Yarrowia lipolytica: one gene and its partner. Each later gene encodes a partner of the first gene's protein in a complex. Links are inferred from orthologs where the notes say so. Each region holds a gene or a part of one and is shown in the gene's direction. Other genes may lie near its edges. The genes, in order: YALI1_D30097g and YALI1_F21426g.

Region 1 (7,908 bases):
AGTTAAGGCTATACAGAGGTGATGGCGTACAAGTGTTAGTACTTGTCGCAAGTTTGAGCTGAAAAAGGCCGATTGAAAAGGGGACTAAGACGGGCCCCAACGTGCCATAGACTATTGGAAACACACCCACGCGGCCCAACCGCTCTCCACACACTTGTGCATCGGTCTGGCTGTTGCCTCATCCACACAACTCTGTGCACCTTTAGCTCGGATCTACCATAGATCGAAAGCTGCGAAAATACATGCCTTAGGCCGGGAGATGCGAGGCGACCGAGGCTGGTCTTTGTGCGGATTTGGAGTCGGAAATGGGGAGCGGAAATGAGCGTTTACAAGAGAATACGGCGACTTTCTGACGACACCAAGTCGCTCAATCCGGCCTTGAACACGGTACGGTACCGGTATCAAGACACCTTCCACCCCACTCCACCGCCTTGTCGCTTGGTATACAAGTTTACTGGTACATACTGTATGGTGTCTCTGCAACACCCTGCTGTTGTTGACCTTACATAGTCCCCCTCTGTATCCCCAAGCTTAGGAGAGATGGAGGGTGAAGCAAGCGGCAACGTTGGCATACAGTACGAGCGAGTAGAAAAAGTCGATGGAAAAAACAAGATGGTCAAAAAAAAAGAAGAGATGACCATGACGAGTACAAAACAACGACAAAACAAGAAACAAAAGAGCAGTCCAGTTGGGGCTTCCACTCTTACCAACGCCCTCTGTTCGGACTTCCGCCCGCTCCTCTCCCGCCCCTCTTCCCCCTACTCATACCGCTCTCAGCTATTCGCCTCGTCCATAAGTGTGAGGTGCTGTAGCGCTTGCTCCAAACTGCATGCACACATCGCGTGATTTACGGAGGATCCGAAAAGCTGGGGGAGCGAGATATTGCCACATGAGCGGTACCATTCGAACCGTCGTGGCGCGCTGGCTATTCCGCTCTACTTTTTGTCCCCAGGCGACCCCTATGCCGCCCACAGCATCGACATTTGCCCTCACACCACCCCTTCCCCAGGGAATACCCACCCTGACACCCGTGAGAGTTTATGGGGCTTTTTGGCAGCACCTTAAAATGATAGGCCGGACAAAGGTAGAACTGAGAAGACTCGTGGGAAACACAAGGCGGGAAACAACAGCGAGCTGGACTCATATACATACTCGCGGGAGACGACCACACAGACACAAGGACAGGGACACTGGCGCCACCCCAACAGGCAACCCGGTCCCCATCGTAGGGTGCGTTTTCTCGTCGTCATGCGCTCGCCACAGCTCCTAACTCTAAAAAAAAGCAAAACACAAGGACAAGAATCCACACTCACATGAAGAGACAGAAGCCAGGTTTTATCTTATCTTTGGCTAAATTGGGCAGAGGCAAAAATACCGGTTGGTAGTCCCCTCTTTGGCCTGCAAAAGAGACACGTTAGTTGTCGCTGGGTGGGTCGCTACAACACGTCGTTGTCCCAACGGCCTCCCATTGGCTGGACCTCCACACCCCCAGTTCGGGAAGTGTACCCTGCGCCCTGCTTACCCAATACGTAGTTTGCCACACTAGGGAGTCGTCCGCCGGCGCAAAAGACTGAATCCCCAACCCTCTGGTGCGCCCGCTCCCCCCCCATCCACGCACTACGCTCCACACAGCATAGCTACCGAGGTTACAAAGAGTGACAAGCCGGAAAGCATTTCGAGCGCTCAGCACATCACGTGACACGCGTTAGTGAGTAGCAGCACGCAGCACACGCAACACGCTCCACGACAGGACGACCTCGTCTAACACAGTGAACTCATACCCCAACATGCAAAGCGACATGGGCATGGGTCCCCAGGGATTCATGGACGGAATGATGGACTCGGGCATGGGCCAGATGGACGCGCAGAGCGATCTGGCTACGCCATCGCCTAGCTTTGGCAACAGGCAGGGTCCGGGAACTCCGATGATGGATATGGCGGTGCAGCCGCCGCGAAATATGGAGGATATGAACAGGATTTATGCGGTGAGTATGAGCAGCGCGGGCAGAGCGAGCCAAGCGAGCAGGGCGAGCAGCGAAGTTGCCAGTCTCTCAGTACGCGATAACGTCAACGCTATCAGTCTCGTCAAGTGCACGATGGGACATGATGAAACTGGACAGAAAGATGCACGTGGACGACGTGATGGACGACCTTAATCTATCGCGTGTGAATGATGTCAGCAGTATATCGATCCCACTGACGTCGTCGACACATCATCGATGATGATGAGTTACCCACGACGGGCACTTCCAGACGCGATCTCAGACACACCTCGAGAGACGATGATGACGTTGACAATTATAACCAACGACGCGACTATAGCTGTTATAGTGATCATGGATGTCGATGCATCATGTTCGGTGCAACGATGTCATCACAACAATGACGGTGCCGCGTTGACGTGTCAAGGACTGTTGTTCACGGGTGTCGTCGACGTCGTCAATGATGGCACAGGCATGATCATCGACGTGATGATTCATTGGCACTACCAAATATCTCTGTGTTTTCAGCAGCTAAAGGCACCGTTGTCGTAGGCGTTGTTGACACACCAGTCGTGTCTATAGTCTACAGATGATGTCCGACGTCATATCGTCGTTTTCCACCGTGACTGCCTCACTCAATGGTCTTCTCGTGACGTATGACTACTCGTTCCTCTACTAACCCAGCGCTACAAAGAACTCCAGACCCGTCTCGGAGCCAACGCCAGCTCTTCCCAAGAGTTCGTCGAGCTCTCCAAAATTCTCAAAGCGTACTCGCAACGCCAGCATATGTTCCGCCAGCAGCAACAGCAGCAGCAACAGCAGCAGCACCGGATGAAGGCCATGGGCCAGCCGCAGCAGATGCAGCAGGGCACACCCCAGGGCAACATGACGCCCCAGATGGGCACTCCTCAATTCCCCTCGCCTGGCCAACCCCAGCAGCCCCAGCAACAGCGCAAACCCTCCTCTGCAGGCATGTACCAGAACTCCAACAGCAGCATGCAGAGTATGAACGGCTCTCCCGTTCCGCCCCACAATCAGCCCGGTGTCGTGGGTGCCCAGGGCATGCCCCGGCAGTCGCCCACACCCCACCTGGAGCCACAGCAACAGAACTCACCATACACACCTGACATGCTCATGCAGATGAAGAACCAGCTCATGGCGTACCGACAGCTGAGCAAGGGTGCTGTCATTCCCCCTCAGGTGCTTCAGGCGCTGTTCAGACCCACTGGCCAGCCTCCTCAGATGACTCAGCCCCAGCAGCAGCCTCCGCAGCAGCAGCAGCAACCTCAGATGACTCAGCAACAACAACAGCAGCCCCCGATGCAGCAGCCTTCCATGGGTCAACCCCCGATGGCTCAGCAGATGCAGTCGCCCGCTGGCATTCCTCAGAGCCCCATGTTCCAGAACGCCAACCGGTCGCAGTCACCGGCCGTGTCTTCCGATACAAACTCTCCTGGCATGGGCAAGCGACGAACTCCCTCTCAGACTGGCCTGAGACGATCGTCCAAACAGGAGATCGACGGAGTGACTCCCATCGCAGCCCCCGCTGTCCCTCCCCCTCCTCCAGCTGCTCCAGAAACCATTTCTGGCTACAAGGATCCCTGTCTCCTTTTGGAGGGAACCTTTTCTTTCGATGATATCACCACTCCCGCGTTCCTGGACAAGCGTCGAACCTTTATTCCATCAATTATGCCCCGTGGTATGGACGCCGAGGTGATCAAAGATCTGTACGAGGAGCAGGTTAACAAGCAGATTAGTGATCGGATTACTGAGCTCAAGGAAGGTGATCTAGATGTGCCAGAGCTTGACGAGGAAGTCGACGAGGAGTCTGCTGACTCAACTGGTTCCGATGACACCACAGCACTAGACAACGCAATCGAGCTCAAATCACTGCAGTTAATCGACCACCAAAAGGCCTGGAGAGGCGATCTCCTTGCTGACACGTTCTACTTCAACTCTGTCGGTCTGGATCCCTACAACAAGATCTACTTCACACGTATGAAGAAGACTTCGCTCCAGGAAGCGTTCATGACCGAACAGTTTGGCACGCAGCAGCTCATGGAGCGCCAGCGACACGAGGTGCGAGTGCGGTCCGAGCAGCTCATCCACATCTGCAAGCACGCGCAGGACACAATCAACGCATCTCGTTCAAGACGACTACGACAGGCTCGTGTCGCCAAGGCATGTCAGAACTATCACGTGTTCACTGAGCGTGAGGAGCAGAAGCGAATGGAGCGAAACGCCAAGCAGCGACTGCAGGCTCTGCGGGCCAACGACGAGGAAGCCTACATCAAGCTGCTTGACCAGACCAAGGACACGCGTATCACAGATCTACTGCGACAGACCAATACGTTCCTGGACTCGCTTGCGCAGGCTGTCAAGGACCAGCAGAAGAGCAACAACAGCAACGGCAATCACGTCGACTTTGGTCCTCAACAAGATATGGATGACGAGGATCCCGACAACCAGAAGAAGGCCGACTACTATGCGGTTGCTCATCGAATCCAGGAACCCGTCAGCAAACAGCCCGATATGCTTGTGGGTGGTCAGCTTAAGGAATATCAGATCAAGGGTCTTCAGTGGATGCTCTCTCTATTCAACAACAACCTGAACGGTATCTTGGCCGATGAGATGGGTCTTGGAAAGACAATCCAGACGATTTCGCTCATTGCCTATCTCATTGAGACCAAGAAGATTCCTGGACCTTACCTGGTCATTGTCCCACTCTCCACGCTCACCAACTGGACGCTCGAGTTCGAAAAGTGGGCGCCTGCTATCAAAAAGCTCGTCTATAAAGGCCCCCCCATGGCCCGTAAGGCGCAGCAGAACGCTATTCGAGCCGGAGACTTCCAGGTACTGCTCACGACCTATGAGTACATCATCAAGGACCGGCCTGTGCTGTCTCGAATCAAGTGGGTCCACATGATTATTGATGAGGGTCATCGAATGAAGAATGCGCAGTCCAAGCTGTCGTCCACCCTGACTCAGTACTACCACACCCGGTACCGACTCATTCTGACAGGTACTCCTCTCCAGAACTCGCTTCCCGAGCTGTGGGCCCTGCTCAACTTTGTGCTGCCCAAGATTTTCAACTCGGTCAAGTCGTTTGACGAGTGGTTCAATACCCCCTTTGCGTCTACTGGTGGCCAGGACAAGATGGATCTTTCCGAAGAAGAGACTTTGCTGATCATCAAACGTCTCCATAAAGTCCTCCGACCATTCCTTCTGCGACGTCTCAAGAAGGATGTGGCCAAGGATCTGCCTGACAAGGTGGAAAAGGTGCTCAAGTGCAAGATGAGCGCTCTACAGTCCAAGCTGTACCAGCAGATGATCAAACACAATGTCTTGTTTATTGGTGAGGGTGTTCAGGGTGCTACAAAGACCGGATTGAAGGGTTTAAACAACCAGGTCATGCAGCTACGAAAGATTTGCAATCATCCCTTTGTGTTCGAGGAGGTTGAAGATCTGGTGAACCCCAACCGACTGACAAACGATAACCTGTGGCGAACTGCAGGTAAATTCGAGCTCCTGGACCGAATTCTGCCCAAGTTCAAGGCTGCAGGTCACCGTATTCTCATGTTTTTCCAGATGACGCAGATCATGGATATTATGGAAGATTTCATGCGGCTCAAGGGCTGGCAATACCTTCGACTTGATGGTGGAACAAAGTCCGAGGACCGATCCGGTCTGCTTGGGAAGTTTAATGCCCCCGACTCGCCCTACTTTGCCTTCCTGCTGTCCACTCGAGCCGGAGGTCTTGGTCTGAACTTGCAGACGGCCGACACAGTCATCATCTACGACACTGACTGGAACCCCCATCAGGATCTGCAGGCTCAGGACCGTGCGCACCGAATCGGTCAGACAAAGGAAGTGCGAATCCTGCGGCTTATCACCGAAGACTCTGTTGAAGAAAATATTCTCGAGAGGGCGCACAAGAAGCTGGATATCGACGGCAAGGTCATTCAGGCCGGTAAGTTTGATAACAAGTCGACAGCAGAGGAGCAGGAGGCGTTCCTGCGAGGTCTGCTTGAGCGGGAGGAAAAGCAGAAGGAAAAGGGCGACGATGACGTGGACGACGAGGAGCTCAACGAGATTCTGGCTAGAAATGACGAGGAGCGAATCTTGTTTGCGCAGCTCGATGCGGAACGACACGCCACGTCCCAGTATGGCAAGGGCAAGATTGAAAGACTTTTCACTGAAGAGGAGCTGCCAGAGGCGTATAAGCGGGACATCAAGCTGGCTGTGGAGCCCATCAACACAGACCAATTTGGCCGTGGAGCCCGAGAGCGAAAGGTCTTGCACTACGACGATGGACTCACCGAGGAGCAGTGGCTCGAGGCTATCGACAATGACGTTGACATGGATGAGACCATTGCCAAGAAGCGGGCCGACAACAAGCGACGGCAGGCCAAGAAGAGTGGTGCGGCCGCTGCAGCTGCGACTGCGTCTCCCCTGGACGAGCTGGAGGACCTTGATTCTCCCGGAGTCAAGCGAAAGCGGTCTCGAAAGCAGACCAAGGATCCGATGATGCAGGTGGAGGACGAGCAGCCCAAGAAGAAGGCTCGGGGAAGGGGTAGACCCAAGGACACACTGACCCCCGAGGCTCGAAAGGCGCTGCTGGGCATCATGAAGACGCTGTACAACCACGTGTTGAATGTGGAGGACTCGACTGGCCGGGCCCGAATCAATCTGTTTTTGGAGCTACCCAGCAAGACGGACTACCCAGACTACTACATTCTCATTAAGCAGCCGATTTCGTGCGCCCAGATCTCGAAGCGAATCCAGAGCTCGTACTACCAGAGCCTGGATCAGTTTCTTGAGGAGTTTGCCCTCATGTTTGCCAACGCGAAGCAATATAATGAGGAGGGCTCGTTTGTGTACGAGGATGCAGTGGCGCTGCATAACGCGTTGTTGGACAAGGCCAGCACAATGGAGGGTGTGGAAAGTACGAGGGCGCTGAAGGAGGAGGGCCAGACTCAGTCTGGTACACAGTCTGGCCCCTCGTCTGCTTCTGGCCAGTCGGGCCAGTCTTCCGGACAGTCCCAGCAGGTGTCTCAGCCTCAGATTCCTCAGCAGGTGTCTCAGGTAGCCCAACAGGTGCCTGCTCCTGCTCCTACACCCCAAGTTGTGTCCCAGGCTGTTCAGCAGCCTCCTCCCCAGGCTGTTCAACCCGTGCAAGCCCAGCCAGCTGCACCTTCTCAGGCGATGCATCTGCCCCCCATGGACATGATGAATCTCCACAACGGCCACGGACAGCAGCAGCCGCAACAGCCAGCTGCACCCGCCCCCGGAATGCACCTCGGCGACATGAACTCTCCCGGGTTCGACTCCCGGTTCGACTTGCACCACGAACTCGGAGGCGGTATCCAGGAGGATATGCATCTGGACGAGTTTACTGACAACTACTTGGGCGATTTCACTACCATGGGAGGGTCCTTTGGAGTGGGTGACGATTATAAACACGAGTGATAGAGAATGTATTATTAGGATTATGAGCTGTGGACTGAAGACAGGAGCCGTAGTGAGTACCCACTCTGCTGTAGACCTGAGCAGTAGTTCTGCTATGCATGCATCGTAGCTATGTGAGTTTGACACTCGTCTGTGTGAGCGTCACCGAGTGAGCTGTAAGGATGAACATCAAGCGGAGAGGAGCGTGAAGTGTGCCAGGGTGCCAGAGTGCCTTGAGGCATCTTCGGGGATAAGGGAGGAGGTTATCAGGCGTCATCTTTCACTCAAAAATATCTTTTGTCAGACTAGCCTGGGCAATTTTTTAAGCTAAGTAAACCCAAGCAGTGCCCATATTTTGATCTAACTGAAATCAAGAAGATTTTATTTTTAATAGTAGGAAATTAGTTGAGATGAATTGGTGACTTGATAGAGCTCAGTCACCCGACAAAGCTCATAATCTCATTCCAGGGAAAAGGGA
Region 2 (4,621 bases), on another chromosome or scaffold:
GGATGCTCTTTCTAGAGCCGCCAATAGTTGGATAAAAGTTGAGAGAATCGATTGAAGACCCTTTGCATGTTTCATTCCAACCTCCCACATCTCAAATGAGATCCCACACACACATCACCTGTACATCCAAAAAGATCCATGTCGCTACTTGTACCATCTTTTTTTAAGGTTTCGGTATCGCGGTATCTCTTCCATGATTGTGGGGAAGTCTAGAAGATCACAAGTAATAGATCAAAGACAATTTGATCGCCTCTTGTATAGTGTTTGGGTTCCGACAACGGGCAGATGAACTTTCTCAAGAGGCGCGGATTGGAGGTGGCAATCACGTGACCACACACGTGCCACTCTCCTCGGTCCACGTGACCCATCATTGCCGTTGCTCTTGTCGTATCCCTTTCGGATGCATGTCGGGGAATGTAGTGTCCCGATCCAGGCATTATTGATTAGTCGGGCTTTTTGAGCGTTGCCAAGCCCGTTTCTTGGAGTGAATGAAACTTTTGTAACTTGTCAGAAATGGAGGTAAGTAGAGATGATCCACAAACATTGCAAGGACATTTGAAATATGACATCGAACGGTCTTCTTCTATCCGGCGCTGTCGGCAAGTACATTATGAGTACAGTACATTATGAGTACAAGTACTGTGGTGATATCATGTGCCGGGCAGGTGGTAGTTCCTCAAGTATGGTGCAGATGTTCTGAGATGGTAACTCGACTGGGAATTTCGTCTGTGTCTGTATCTAACACACCTGCATCTATTTGTGTCTCGTTATTATTTTTGTCTTGTTTTATCACATTTTATCGCTTTTTATCGCTTTTTATCGCTTTTTATCGCTTTTTATCGCTTTTTATCGCTTTTTATCACATTTTATCGCATTTTATCGCATTTTATCGCATTTTATCTCACATGCTTAGTTATTGGGAAGTCGAAATAATACCCTCAAAATGATTCAATGGTCAAGCGTGACATACCCATCCCAATTAACGAAAATGAACTCTAAAGACACTAATACCCACGTGACTTACTCCACATATCACGTAATGTACCTCCTATCACCCTTTAGCCCGTGTATCGTACGTCCCTGTGCTGTACCTTACATGCGTCACACACTCCTCCAAGTGCAATTATCAAATCGAGACGATTCTCCAGCCTCTCCCAATTTCACGTTGAACTTTATTTTGCTGACGTAAGCAGTCCTCTGCAACGGATGGGTTTGATAACATGTGGTTCCAGGTGGTCAATGGGTGAGAAATTTCAACAGCAGATTTAAAAAAACTGTTTATTTCCATCCCATTGATTTCCAACCAAGTTCTTCGCCAGAAAACATACATTTCGCCGATATCAATCTCCCCTACCAGATTAACCTCTGGAGTTACCCTGCCGAAGTCGCACAAGCCAGACAACAGTAAACGGTATACGCGACAGCTCGCAGTTGTACGCGTGAAGACAGCCCCGACTTTTGCGACACAACATGTTTTCCGAGGGAGATTTTGGAGCCGGCGGCAGCGCAGACGCCCCCAATGGCGCCCCCACGTCGACCGATGGCGTCTCCAGTGCCGCTGCGCCCGTCGACGACCTCAATACGACCGACAACAATTCCATCACAGAGCCCACTACCGCAACCTCAGCGACTTCCAACACCGAGGCCACGGCTGAGTCGATGGAGCATGCCGAGCCCGTGATTCATGCTGACGTGGCAGGTGGTGATGAGCCTGCCCCCGATGTTGATGCTGTTGCTGACACTGCACCCGTTGAACCTCCTGCGGGTGCTGATACTCCTGTTGACGCTACGGCTTCCTGTGGAGACCCACCACCCACCACCACCACCACCCACCACTGTGACCGAGGAGCCCGCCACAGACACAATTAACGACGGTGCTGTTGTTACAGAGACCACCTCTTCCACTACCGAGAGTCTTCCTGCTGCTGAGGGTGCTACTACTGCCACTGACACTGCTGAAGAGGCCGCAAACGGTGCAGATGCAGATGGTGCAGCAAACGGTTCCAGCTCTGAACCCAAGCCTGAGACCTCTGAGCCTGCTGCTGCCACGTCACCTGCACCGGCACTGCCCTCAGATGGTATGGATGTAGACTACATGCCTGCGGACCAGGACGACAAGGAGGATGACTGGAACATGGACCTGGAGCCTGAGTGGGAGGCCACCGGTGGAATCGCCGAGACCACCAAAGTCGAGCCCAAAGCCTCCGCAGAGCCCAGGGACGACAAGGAGGCTGACTCGGAGATGCTTGACGCAGACACAGCCATCCCCGACGACCAAAAACTCAAGGAGACCAAGCCCGTGGTCGCCCCACCACCCGTGCCCCGAAACGCGGTGCCCGATTACATCCCCCAGGCGCACACTATTGTGATCCCGTCTTACGCCAGCTGGTTCAACGTGAACCGCATCCACTCGATAGAGAAGAAATCCATTCCCGAGTTCTTCAATCAGCGCAACAACTCTAAGACACCTGAGGTGTACAAGCGGTACCGTGCTTTCATGATCAACACCTACCGACTGCACCCCACGGAGTACCTAACTGTGACTGCTGTGAGACGAAACTTGCTAGGCGACGTGTGTGCCATCATGAGAGTGCACCAGTTTCTCGAAAAGTGGGGTCTCATCAACTACCAGGTTGATATTGAGGCCCGACCCCAAATGGTTGCCCCTCCCTTTACAGGCCACTGGGAGGTGACTGAGGACATGCCACGTGGTCTGTTCCCCTTCCAGGCATACAGGGGCACTCGTTTCCTGAAACGGGCTGGCGAGAACGGCTCCATCGAGGAGGGTGGCTCGATTGAGGCCAAAAAGCCGAAGGTGGAGGGTGATGATACTGCCGATGCTGTGGATGGTGGCAACAGCAACGACAACAAGGATACCAGCAGTAAAGAGGGTGGGGCCGAGGTAGGCACCCAGGGCGACACAGTGCGAGTCAAACCCGAACCCACAACTCCCCAGGTTGAGCCATTTGTGCAGTCCGATCCCGAATGGACTAAGCGGGAGGTGTACAACCTGCTCAACGGTATCGAGGAGCATGGAAACGACTGGACCGCCATTTCCGAGACAGTCGGCAACAAGACCCGGGAGCAGTGTCTGCTCAAGTTCATCTCCTTGTCTACCGAAGACAAGTATCTGGGCAAGAGTGGCGATGTTTCAGCGTCTACATCTGGCCAGGACATCAAGGTGTCTCCTCTTCAGGTGAGTCCCAAGTACCTGCCGTTTGACCATGTGGATAACCCTGTTTTGTCGGTGGTTTCGTTCCTGACTGGTCTTGTGGACCCTACTGTGGTGTCTGCCATGACCGGTCGAGGTGTGGAGGAGATTCGAAAGACCCTCAAACTCGAAATGACTGAGCAAAAGAAGCAACAGCTGCTGGAGCGAAGACGAAAGCGAGAGCAGGAAAAGAAGGATAAGGAGGCTGCTGCTGCCAAAGATGGTGACAGTAAGGACGGTGGGGAGAAGGAAGGTGGAGAAGGAGATAAGGACGACAAGGACGCCGTCAAGGAGGAGGGTTCTGATGATGACCCAGCTCTGTATCCCCCGGGAGCATCTGACTCTACCGATGCCGGCACCTCCATCAAGGACGTGCCTCTTGAGACGCTCACGTCGCTGGGCTACTCTACCCTGGGCACCAAGGCGCAGGTCTTTGCCGACTTTTCCGAGAAGGAAATGTACCGGGACATGTTTGAGCTGACCAAGGCGCAGGCCACAAAGATGGAGATGAAGATGGAAAAGTTTGCCGAGTTGGAGCGCATCATCGAGATGGAGCGACGGCAGCTGCAGATGGAGCGTGAGCAGGTGTTCCTGCAGCGTCTGCTGCTCAACAAAAAGGTGTCGCAGGTGGACAATCTGCTTACACAGGCTGCTGAGGAGACCAAGAACCAGCAACTGATTGACCAGGCCCGTTCCATTGTGCGGGGAGCCACCAAGCTGTCGTTTGCACCTACTGTGCAGGACCAGGCGCTGGAGAACAGTTGTGTGGAAAACTCGCTGGACAATGTCACTCCTGTGACCCAGAAGAAGCAGACCTTTACTTTCTGGCAGGCTTAGGTCTAGGGAGACAGATGAGGAGGAATACAGGGAGGCGTGTTGCTAACGGTGAAGATGGTTGTATATTAATAAATTGTTTAATTGATGTCAAGAGAGGAGCGAGAACTCACTTGGCTATAGTACGATGGCGAAGTGGTGATAGTTGCTGGCCAAACTGTGCTGCATATCCTCATGACTGGTCATCGGGACACTGTAGAGAGTGTTTTATTGTGTCTATTGACGGGTCATGTGGTTTCAAAAACAAAACAAACGTTTGTACCGTCGTGAGATACTGCTATTGTTAGCTACTCTTCTTTCTCTATATAATGCGTTGTGAGATCGGAGTGTCCCTGCCACGACTCAACCATGATCGACAAACTATTAGACCAGTACATTGGAGATGTGAGTTTTTCGAACGTTTATTCCGCCGAGGAGCCGTGGAGTATCTACGACGAGTATCCTGAGATTCCGCCGCGTGTTCAACCAGTGGAGAATTCTCTGATTGGAGACTTGGACAATTTCAGTCTCAGTGTACCTTCTGAGATTTCTTTGGACGCGGGCGGTTTGGAAATCACGTCATCGGTCACCGTTGTC

The links.
Region 2: the proteins of YALI1_D30097g (region 1) and YALI1_F21426g are in contact, whole or in part, in a cryo-EM structure (PDB 7EGM), measured with the Saccharomyces cerevisiae proteins. The link is inferred for Yarrowia lipolytica from reciprocal best matches to the Saccharomyces cerevisiae genes SNF2 and SWI3. Residues at the interface, in NP_014933.3 of Saccharomyces cerevisiae: Pro485, Val486, Gly487, Ile488, Asp489, Thr490, His491, Ala493, Thr494, Tyr497, Thr499, Ile501, Ala502, Leu503, Asn504, Leu505, Asp506, Thr507, Thr508, Asn510, Asp511, Lys515, Glu527, Asn528, Tyr531, Asp532, Tyr534, Ala535, Leu536, Gln537; in NP_012359.1 of Saccharomyces cerevisiae: Gly421, Leu422, Phe423, Pro424, Phe425, Glu426, Pro430, Ser431, Val432, Gln433, Leu434, Pro435, Asp436, Met437, Leu440, Lys441, Met444, Leu514, Lys516, Val517, Lys518, Ile519, Leu520, Lys529, Gln533, Leu536, Lys537, Ile539, Gln540, Gly543.

The regions. Positions count from the first base shown.
Region 1 is NC_090773.1:3,007,906-3,015,813, forward strand, and holds YALI1_D30097g (uncharacterized protein), read left to right. Parts: upstream 1-1,787; coding exon 1,788-1,985; intron 1,986-2,666; coding exon 2,667-7,451; downstream 7,452-7,908. UniProt on the Saccharomyces cerevisiae protein: Involved in transcriptional activation. Catalytic component of the SWI/SNF complex, an ATP-dependent chromatin-remodeling complex, which is required for the positive and negative regulation of gene expression of a large number of genes.
Region 2 is NC_090775.1:2,140,940-2,145,560, forward strand, and holds YALI1_F21426g (uncharacterized protein), read left to right. Parts: upstream 1-1,684; coding exon 1,685-4,048; downstream 4,049-4,621. Other genes in the region: YALI1_F21453g (uncharacterized protein), read left to right, coding at 4,394-4,621. UniProt on the Saccharomyces cerevisiae protein: Involved in transcriptional activation. Component of the SWI/SNF complex, an ATP-dependent chromatin-remodeling complex, which is required for the positive and negative regulation of gene expression of a large number of genes.